Linked DNA regions of Xenopus tropicalis. The protein of the gene in region 3 interacts with the protein of the main gene of each other region in a pairwise test. Links are inferred from orthologs where the notes say so. Each region holds a gene or a part of one and is shown on either strand. Other genes may lie near its edges. The genes, in order: map3k5, rassf1 and lats2.

What was found.
Region 1: the proteins of lats2 (region 3) and map3k5 come close enough for resonance energy transfer, tested with the Homo sapiens proteins (2 studies listed by BioGRID, with this or other methods). The link is inferred for Xenopus tropicalis from reciprocal best matches to the Homo sapiens genes LATS2 and MAP3K5.
Region 2: the proteins of lats2 (region 3) and rassf1 come close enough for resonance energy transfer, tested with the Homo sapiens proteins (2 studies listed by BioGRID). The link is inferred for Xenopus tropicalis from reciprocal best matches to the Homo sapiens genes LATS2 and RASSF1.

Annotation. Positions count from the first base shown.
Region 1 is NC_030681.2:58,924,839-58,928,495, forward strand, and holds part of map3k5 (mitogen-activated protein kinase kinase kinase 5), read right to left. Parts: intron 3,294-3,657; coding exon 3,160-3,293; intron 2,980-3,159; coding exon 2,852-2,979; intron 1,878-2,851; coding exon 1,741-1,877; intron 1-1,740. UniProt on the Homo sapiens protein: Serine/threonine kinase which acts as an essential component of the MAP kinase signal transduction pathway. Plays an important role in the cascades of cellular responses evoked by changes in the environment.
Region 2 is NC_030680.2:127,214,055-127,216,826, reverse strand, and holds part of rassf1 (ras association domain-containing protein 1), read left to right. Parts: intron 1-2,297; coding exon 2,298-2,402; intron 2,403-2,772. UniProt on the Homo sapiens protein: Potential tumor suppressor. Required for death receptor-dependent apoptosis. Mediates activation of STK3/MST2 and STK4/MST1 during Fas-induced apoptosis by preventing their dephosphorylation.
Region 3 is NC_030678.2:157,780,659-157,784,923, reverse strand, and holds the start of lats2 (serine/threonine-protein kinase LATS2), read right to left. Parts: upstream 2,849-4,265; 5' UTR 2,781-2,848; intron 1,750-2,780; exon of another isoform or gene 1,429-1,749; intron 1-1,428. UniProt on the Homo sapiens protein: Negative regulator of YAP1 in the Hippo signaling pathway that plays a pivotal role in organ size control and tumor suppression by restricting proliferation and promoting apoptosis.

The DNA.
Region 1 (3,657 bases), on a different chromosome or scaffold from region 3:
ACTGCCAATTTTTCCAAAAATAGTTAAAGTCTAGACAAGTGCTTCTGGTACATATCCATATTACTAGTCTTGAGAAGGAATTCAGTACAGAACACCACTTAGAACCCTTGTCCAATTAGAGAATGTAACAATGACATATCTTCTCTGAACTTAATAGTTATCCAGTGCCTGATCCATCTGAATAACACTTCTAAGGTCAACAGACTTGAGTTTAGAAAGCAAACATTTTTGTGGTATTGTACTTAGAGGTTTTTAAAAATCCAAGATGACCACATCATGTGCAACATTCACTGACCGGCACATCATTAAAGCAAGTAAGAAAAGGTTGTTTGACATGATAATTAAGGCCCACTTTAAGACACAAAACACGTATGGCTGTTTCTTTGTATTTGACCATTTTAAAAATACAATGTATGCCCTTTTTTCTATAAAGAGTTCCAGTGTGTCTGTTTTTTTTTTAAATTCTGCTGGATATGTGCTCCCCAAACTGTAAGGTCTGGGGTATGTGCTAATAAACCTAACCATATCTAGTATAAACAAATCTAAAGCAACTGGACTTGTTAGGTAATCATTGAATTGATTACCTAACGAGTCCAGTTGCATTAGATTTATTTATACTAGATATACCATGACATGGATGAATGAAAATCTTCATAGACAAACCTAACCATGTTTTTGATAAGTTTACAGTTTAAAATGGAATTTATTGTTAAATAATAAGCTATATACAATACACAAGAGGCACAAGTTTAACAATAAATTACAAGTAAACCACAGAGTGGGGCACAAAGTATAGGGCATATGGTAAATAGGATGAAAATGGACACGTCAAAAGATTGACATGAAGCATTTGATGTAAAAGAGGCATAGTGTACACAACAAACACATGGTGAAAGGCAAAATTGCATGTGGTGAATATGGTTTCACATGGGTCATATAATATGAGGCTGTAAAAGATACTGGGACGGAAGGTGTACAGGTGCATAAGTTGCACATGTGACTGTGGGAAAGGTTCAAACAGGAAGGGCAAAAAAGTTTGAAAGTCAAAGGTGCACTAGGCAGCATATTGGATGTACAAAGGGCAAGAAAGCACACAGACATGATGGAAGGCAAAATTAGATATCTTGCACAGGCAGCAAAACTTTGAGGTAAAGGGTAGATACAACAGGTGTACATAGGTCACAGGATTTGGGGTTGAAATTTCTATAATAAAGCACAGAGTAGATGAGAGAAATGGTGTACATAGAATACAAAGTATAGGGGGCAAAGATGTACAGGGGGGAAGAGGGTGCACATGGCACACAGAATTCAAAATGTACACAAGGGTAGAAACAAAATATGCACATGAAAAATGGATACACAAAAGATTCATGCAGGATACACATGGTGCACAGGATACAGGAAGATGGTGTACAGAAATAATGGGAGCAAAAAGTGTACAGGGTGTGTGGCAAAGGTAATGCACGAGGCAGAGTATACATGGTTGAAAATTAAAACATGTTAAGGGGCAAAAGGGGTATAGAGTAGGAAGCAAAGAGCTGGTATTGAGGCACAGGGTATGCATGAAGGATTCACGTGGGGTAGTGTGTGGGTGTAAATGGGCACACAAAGGACAGCTATAGTACATGCCCAGGCCCAAGTCATTCTTAACAATAGAAAGCAATCTGTCACAACCGTCACAACTACCTACAGTTTTTCTCTTCACACAAGATATGATATTGCATACATAACTGCACATACCTTGATATCTCTATGAACTATCTGGTTATCATGGAGATATTTCAAACCTTCAAGGATCTGTTTGGTATAAAATCCGATTGTCTGCTCATTGTCTTTCAAGGGTCCCCATTTTGACCTTAGAAGTGCGGAGAGGCTTCCTGTAATTAACCAAATTAAGCTTTATAAGAAAGGTTTATGTAAATACAGCTATAAGCACTCATAGAAAAACTGCACGGAGTCCTCAATCAAAAGAAATACAGGATGTCTTGTCTTTTTTTTGTGTACACATGTTCTTCTGTGTCAGACTTTCTCTTTTAGAAAAATCCTTCATTCCTGGGGCCGGAATCTGTGCAGTTCACTCCTCTCTCCCTTCTCCTGCTCCCCCTTCCAACAAGAATTCATAAGAACTACTCCCCCCCCCCCCCCCCAATCAGAATGTGTGATCTGAGTTACCAAGGCTAGAGCTTAAGTTAAAGAAATTAAAAAAAAGATTCCTTATTCAAACAATCGTGGTGGGACATATTCACGTCAATGTACATCCACACCTAGACATGAAAAAATAAAAAATTGCTTTGGTTATTATTTCTTATTGTGTTTGGAGAGAATGGCATGTATTCAGTGTAACCAAGGTCATTCCTACAAAGGCATTTTGTGGCATTGTCTTGGTATTTTCAGGGAAATGTTGATATGGACCTTTAGTTAATAGAAACTACAAGCATGAGCTACAGATGTACAGAATTTACTACACAGGTAATAGCCATTAAGATTAAGGGGCATATTTATTATAGTATGTAAGCTAACATCACCCGTGATGTTGCCCATAGCAACCAATAATCAATTCGATTTTAACAGTCACCTGCAAGTTAGAAATTTATGGCAGAGGTGAAGTATGTGGATTTAAACCAATGCAAATGTTATAACAATTATAAACTAGTAAAAGGGGTACAAAACTTGGACCTTCTAGAAATGAAAAGGACAAATACAGCTTGATGTGTAATTACTTATTTTTTATACATTGACATCTGTGGAGAAAGACAAAAAAGGAACTGAACCAACAACATATCTTGATAGCCAAGAAAGAGTTAACAGTATTAATGGGTAAGTTTTTAAGAAAGGGTGTAAAAAAACATACCTCCAGGTACTTGTTCCATAAATATTTTAATGAAACCACCTTTACTGAATGATCCCAAATACTGAACAATGTTTTTATGCTTTAGACGTTTATGCAAAGCAATCTCTTCATGAAGTGGTTGAGAGCATCTAAAGAGAATAATTAGAACTTTTTGAATAACTGTCCATGAAAGATGGGCATATAAAGGAATATTTAAAAGTAGTCAAATATAGTAGCCTTTTTGAAATATACACAATACATACACACACATATACAATATATATATTTAAACAGTCAGCTGGCTCACATATACAAAATCCTGTACTTACCGACCATCTCTCTCTGGAACTTCTTTAATTGCAATTCTGACCTGGTTACTCAAGTCTCTTCCTGCATATACCACTCCATGTTTCCCTTTACCGAGAACCACTCTGTCCCCATTTTCATCATACTCATAGTCGAACTGAAAAAAAAGTCATTGTTAAAGCAGACATATTGTATGAAAAACAAGTATGTGCCAGTGCATTACACTATTCTAAATGTTGAAGGAATGTGGTTTAAAAAGTTGTGTTTCGGACTTAAATTCCCCCAAAACCCTACTAGTCACACCCATCTGTGCCACTTCTTGCTGCCTCCTTTGCCAGGCTTTGCAGGGGAGTTGGCAGCACTCAGCACAATGCACTGTACGATAGGAACCAATGAGCAGCTAGGTCGACCTGAAAGGGAACTGAAATCTGTCTTTGCTTGTGACTGCAAGGCTTCGATCTCCCTCATGTTTCGGTATACAGAGTGATTTATGTGTTTCATATTTATCTCTTGTACATATT
Region 2 (2,772 bases), on a different chromosome or scaffold from region 3:
AATAATATTGTCATTTGGAAAGTAGCGCGCCTTCTGAGGGTGCATTGGAAATAACCTGTATGTAGCAGGGGGCAGTGAAACACAAAAGCAGTGTGCAAGTTGCACACAGAGATCCTTCATGCACAGGGTGTGTGCCGCATTTCCTTCCTCTCGGCCTTCCGGGACTTGCTGTTCCCAGGACTTGGAACAAGAACACTCCCCACCTTATCCCAAACCCTGCAGGTCTGGGTAGGAGCAGGCTTCTCATAAAGTACCGGATGAGCCCTTCTCCAGCCTCTTTCCTCCCCTTCGCTCCCCACCTTTCCAGTACCAGCCTGATGCAACGCTGACTAAACTGGGAGATTTAGGGAGGGAGGGGAGGGAGACAGGAGGAGGACATCATAGACAAACCGATTACAGGAATAAGTGCAAAGAGGAAGTCACAGCTCCATTTTGTCTTTAGTGCCTTTGTAGGATAGTTATTTGCCTCTGGATGTGGTTTTACAAGGCAGAATTAATGAGCCAGTAATGCACCCACAGCTTCTACAGGGTCTGCTTGGAGCCAGATGTTTTCATTAGGCATGCCTAGGGCTAGTTTATATATTAGAGAGAGCAAGATTGTTGCAATATACATGCAGGCCCTTTGTCTGACTGAGGCAGATGGATCTTACTCCTTTTTGAGTGTATTTTAACATTCATCCTATAGGCCACTGCCACTTCTGGGCTGAGGTACAAAATGGGCCATGGCATTTCATGGGCAGAAAGGTCCAAACAGCCCCACACAAGCCCAATACTAAGCACCAATCTGTGGCAACTCACAGCAGCCCCACAGGGGCTTTTGGGTAAAGAGTAACAAAACCTGCCTGATGTCTAGCGCCCTGATTGCTCTGAGCTTTCAACGTGGCCATAGATTACAAGATCTTGCCAAACAAGGGGATCTTTCCCCAATATGCCCACCTAAGGTGGGTGATATTGGGCTAATTAGATTGTTTGGCTATAGGCCAGAGATAGGAGCAGTCGGAGCGAGGAACACATCAATGAGCCAACGCAGTCCCCAGTCTGTCTAAAAAATCAAACTTTGCCGATCAACACCTGGCCAATTTTTAACCAGATATTGATCGGGAAGGGCTGTCGGGGGTCCCCAGATATGCTGCCAAATCGGTCTAAAGGACTCGAATCTGCAGTTCAAATCTGCCTGTGTATGGCACCTTAAGAAAAGACGTATTACTAACTAGAAAGGAAGCTGAGTCACATGAGAAACAGGAAATGAACATCTGCGTTTTGGTGCCAAAAGTGATTATTTTTCAAGATTTTTCCAATTCTGCTCTGTTTTAAACAGTATTACACAATGTCTTCTATCACTTTTTTTTTCATCAATTTGTAGTTTTTATTTACTGGTATCAGTTCGGAATTGTTCTAGAGCACTGATCCACAGCAACCAGTCAGTCTAGTGCAGTTAGAATAATACATTGTCTGGTTGCTATGGGTTACTGTTCTGGTACAATTGGAACTGTCTTTGTAAATTATCCTTTTCAGTTTGTTCTTTGTGACCTAAAGGCATTTCTTCTGACCCTATTAGATGTTTGTTGCTTCTGTTTTTGTTCTAGTAAAGGGTAGCAGATGAGCCCCCAGGATATCACTGCTGGCTTAAAGAGGTTGTTCACCTTTAAATTAACTTTTAGTATCATGCAGAGAGTGCTATTTTGAGACAATTTGGAATTGGTTTTCATTTTTTATTATTTTCAGTTTTTGATTTATTTAGCTTTTTGTTCAGCAGCTCTCCAGTTTGGAAATTCAGGAGCTATCTGGTTGCTGGGGTCCAATTTAACCTGGTAGCCAGGCAGTGGTTTAGAGGAGAGACAGAAATATGAATAGGGAAGAGCCTAAATAGAAAGACAAGTCATAGAAAGTAACAATAACAATAAAATTGTAGCCTCACAGAGCAATTGCTGTTGGCATCAGTGGCCCCCATTGGAAAGCTGGAAAAAGAGAAAGTCAAATCATTCAAAAACTTTAACAAATAAAAAATGAAGACTAACTGAAAAGTTTCCAAGAAAGGACCATTCTGTAACATACTACAAGTTAACTACCTTTTTAATGGAAATTCCGTTGGGCTCCTTCGCTCACTGCAGCACAGCTATTTGCCTGCCTGTAGTGCAAGGCTGTGCTGCCTCTCCATTTGCAGGTAGATTTGTGTTGTGGGGAAGGTGCTGCTCTATTGAAATCAGTTTTTCTGACTTTTGACCCTCCCTAATCCTTAAGCTTAAGGTTTTCAACATTAAATGGTTTATGTAATATGTGGTTTCTTTTTCTTACAGGACGAAAAGCCAGAAAAGCAGCCGCAGGCCCTGAGCAAGGCAGAGCTAGAACAGAAAATAAAGGCTTATAATTCTCAGATAAAGAGCAATCTCTTCATGAGTCTGGTACGTTATGAGTAATGCACAGACAGAATCCTCTCCTGTCTGTGATGCTGGTATGTGTGAATTCAGTAAGCACTCAGGGCAGGAATATTGTATTACTTGGCCCTCACATTTATTGGCTTTCACCAGTCACGTTTTGTAGTTTGAGTGCTCCGTAAGCCCCTCCAAGATGTTGCCTCCCTTTGTTCACTATGACCCCATTATAATTTATGTACCTTGAGCCCCTCTCTCTGTGTGACCGTATGTGTGACGAAGGGAAACCCTTTCCATTACAGAATCACTTGTGACACATATTGTATGGCTACTAAGAGAAGATTATACCTTGACAGACTGGTGACTGGGAGAAGAATGGATTGGCAAATAATATAACTGA
Region 3 (4,265 bases):
GTAATCATGGGATTGTCTTTATGTTCAACCTGGAAAAAAAAGCAGCAGCCCTGCCATGCAGCTATCCTTCTCACTATTTAAAGGACCTTGCCCTTTGAGGCTGCACAAACAAAAAAACTTGTGTGGCACAACATGGTGCAAGAATACATATTGTAATGCAGAGATAGGGGGTTCTGCTTGGGAAAAAACTGTGACTGTGCTTCCAAAACTTGTCTCCAAGCCAGAGATTTTAAAATGGGCACTGGAGACTGGGAACAACAAAGGAGATGGTGAGCAATACCACTGGTTGGGCATCACTAACATAGATGGTGATATGCAGAGATAATTTGCAATTGGTCCTTTTTTTTTTGCTATTTACCTTTTTCTTCAGCAGCTTTCCAGATTTGAATTTTTAGAAGCTATCTGGTTGCTAGGCTCCAATTTGCCTTAGCAACCAGGCAGTGGTGTGAATGACAGAGTGGAAGAGGAAAGGCTAAAGCTGCCCATAATGCAGTGATATAAGCGTAAATGTAGTTTGATTTTTGGACTGTATGTGGGCTCCAAATGATCCCAATAATACCGAGGTGATCAGTCGTTTAGTCGATTGGACAGGTTAGAAAATGTTAGTGCTTGGGGTGTATGTGACGGCGCGCTTGGGGAGTATGTGACGGCGCGCTTGGGGTGTATGTGACGGCGCGCTTGGGGTGTATGTGACGGCGCGCTTGGGGTGTATGTGACGGCGCGCTTGGGGTGTATGTGACGGCGCGCTTGGGGTGTATGTGACGGCGCGCTTGGGGTGTATGTGACGGCGCGCTTGGGGTGTATGTGACGGCGCGCTTGGGGTGTATGTGACGGCGCGCTTGGGGTGTATGTGACGGCGCGCTTGGGGTGTATGTGACGGCGCGCTTGGGGGGGGGTCACTTTCCTACCATTGGTGTCTGACAACTATTTCATGTTCAGAAATTCCTCTGATTTGATATTTTTAGGGCTTTAACTTACAATTTCAGCCCTAACATTAGTTCGTTGCATTTAAACATACGATCGATATCTAAACGTTCATCAGAAGAAGGCTAAAATCTGAACTTGGATGGCCGGCTTCAAACAGAGATATAAGTACCAATAACGGTGTAGCCTCACAGAGCAACAGATATTTGTGGTTGCTAGGGTCTGAGACCCCTAACTAACTAACCCAAGCACATGGAGGCAGAGGGGTAAATAGTGTCAGAACTATAACAATTCACTATGAAGCCCAATGGAAAAGTTGCAAAGCACAGGGCATAGGGTAGGGAAGTGGTAGGGAGCCTTGGCGGGGGCTAGGGCCATGCTGTCACTGCTCCTGAGGGAACATTCGGGGTCGGACGCGCACGGACAATACGTGTCATTAGCTTGTTCCCCCGGACCCCAGCGCCCTCCCCCCAACACCCGCAGCTCTAGCACTAGTCAGTTTACCGGAGTTCCGCTCGGTGCAAGCCAACAGACGGTTCCGCTCTCCGCCCGTCCCCGCCGCCGCCGCCGATAGAATGTAGCGGGTTGGACTTGGGCGCCCGCCGCATTGTTTGCATTCCATTGCGGTCACGTGGGAGCCCCTGCCTGCGTCATCGACGTGGAGAAGCGGGGATTGGCCGGTGTGTGAGGGGGCGTGGCCCCGGGAATCCTTCGCTTTCCCTCTCTCCGGCCTGTGGCGCGATTAACTTGTTCTGTGCTGAGCTCTCAAAGTTACCACAGAGGCCGCCTGATGGCTGTGCGCTTTATCCTTCTACCATTCACCTCTACAGCACCATTCTGCCTTCTGTAACCCTTCCAACCCTCAGCTTTAGCGTCTTCACAGCCCATTTGCGCCAGCCCATCTATTAACGTGATACTGACACTGCTAGGGTTTCAATTACTGAGCAGCACAAGGAGTGGTTTGACCAGAGACTAATATGTTTATAGAAGATGGACCTAAACAGAAAAATAAGTAATAAAAAGTAACTGCTGGGGTCAGTGACCCCCATTTGAAAGTTAGAAAGAGTCAGAAGAAGGCACATCATTTAAAAAGTATAAAAAATAAATAAGGACCAATTGGAAAGCTAAAATTATAACTAACATACAGACAATGCTATGATAGATGTAAAAAGGGGTTAATTTTTTGGTGTCAGTATCTCTTTACCACCCCCAGCATCCTTAATTGAGTACATTAACCCTTTCTACCCCAATGCTGTCACACCTATCCATATGGACTGTAAACTATCATAATAGCTCCCTGTGGCTATCTTGTTATTGTAATGACGCGTCTCAGTGCCCTCTGAAAAAACAGGTTGCTATATGGCTTTGCTTAGTAACCCCCCCTCTCCCCTGCCAGCAGCTATAATATCACTCTATACACTGTTTGGACTAATTATATGACCCTCTAAGGCAGTGCTGTCTTATTACAAGTAGTGGGCCAATTATATCTGGTAGAGTCTATGTGAAGTGAAGTCTATGGAGCCTGGGGACCATAAAAATCCTTTGGAGCACCACATGCAGTGGTGTAACTACTCTGTGCTGCCCCCAACCCCCCTGCAAAAACCTTCAGAGGGGCCCAGTGCAGAGTAGTAAACTTACATAGGCTCCTTGGTCAGAGACTTTGTTACAAGGGGGTCATTGGTCAGAGAACCCACTAAGAGGCTATTTAGTCTTGTCTATGTGTGTTCTCTTTCCATCTCATGCCTAATGTGCTCACTATTTCCATTTAACAGGTATGTGAAAATCTGGTCTCATTTCTAAACATAAAGTCAAAGCTCAAAATTGAAATCCACAAAGGTATTTTGTTGAATACACACCCCTTTGTACTAGCCTCTGCCACCTCTCACTTGCCTTGAGGAGATAGTGCTTGCAGGCGTGTTTGCTTGCACGTGGAACTAACTTGCACCCAATTAATTAGTTACTTACATTTTTTATGCACTTACAAATGCCAAATGCATGAGAGTCAGGTGTTTCAATCAATGGGATGATAATCAGGTTTGAGCGTGGGATGCCCGGCGTTAATTACATAACGGAAATCCGGCTCCTCACTATCCAAGTCTGATCTTTGCAACAAAAGTTTGTAGAAGTCCTGCAAATCCGCCAATGCAAGAGACATGTATCATGGCTGAAACAAAAAAGATTTCTGAGGACCTCCAAAAATCACTTGTTATTGCTCAGGCTGGAAAAGGTTGAAAAACTAATTATAGAGAATTTGGACTCCATCAGTCAGGCAGGTCATGTACAAATGGTGGCAAACAAAAGTCACAACAACAGCAAGCATTTTGGGAGATCTAAAGAAATAAAAATGGCCTATAATGAACTAAAGTAGTCTCTGGCATTGGCCGATGTCAATATTCATGGGTCCACTATCAAAACAATGGTGTGCATGGCAGGGTTGCAAGGAGAAACCACTGCTATGCAAAAAGGAATTCTACCAGCAAATTTGAACCTAAAAACAAAGTCCACCAAAGAATGGATGAACAGAAGAAAGTTTATGTTTTGGAACAGCCAAGTCAAAGTCCTGATATTAATCCTGTAGAAATGTTGTGGAAAATTCGGAAGCAGGCAGTCTATGCGAGGAAGCCTGACAACATCCCTGAGTTGAGGTTGTTCTGATTTCAGGAATGGGCTAAAATTCCCAAAAACTGATTTGCAGGACTGATCATCAGCTCTCGGAAATATTTAGTGGTAGTCATTGCTGCCCAATGGGGGCACACCATTTATTAAAAACAAAGGTTCACATAGTTGTGCCCTACACAAAATGTAACATAGGGTCCTTTTTCTCAAGAGATAAATGAACACACATTATGTTTTTGACTAATTTGTTTAATGGGATTCTCATTATCTAGTATTAGGGCAAAATGGTTTGCAAAATTTCAGACACCACTGTATGGGCTATTGTAGTTCCTACACTTGTGTGCACTTGTACAATGCAGGTTAGTTAGTTGATAAGATATCCTACAAACTCTTGTTGTTTAACTATTTGCTGCCTGATGGGCGAAATGCTCTATATCTGCTACAGCTTGGCTATAAGGGAGTTGTTAACCTTGAGACTGTGTGTACATTGCCTCTGTAATGCTTGTGATAAGACATTGCTGAAGTTCCATTTCACTGCAGCTGTTGCAATCTTTTTGGTGACTGAAGGCTGACACGCATGGGCCAGTCGTTCAGTTTTGGGAAAGTCTGGTATTTGTTCTGAGGTATCACAATAAAGCAGGCACCTTCCATATGTGTGGGTCAGCTGAGATAATCTCTCATGTGTGAACAGAGAATAATCAACTCAGTTTGGTTGTTCTTTCTGT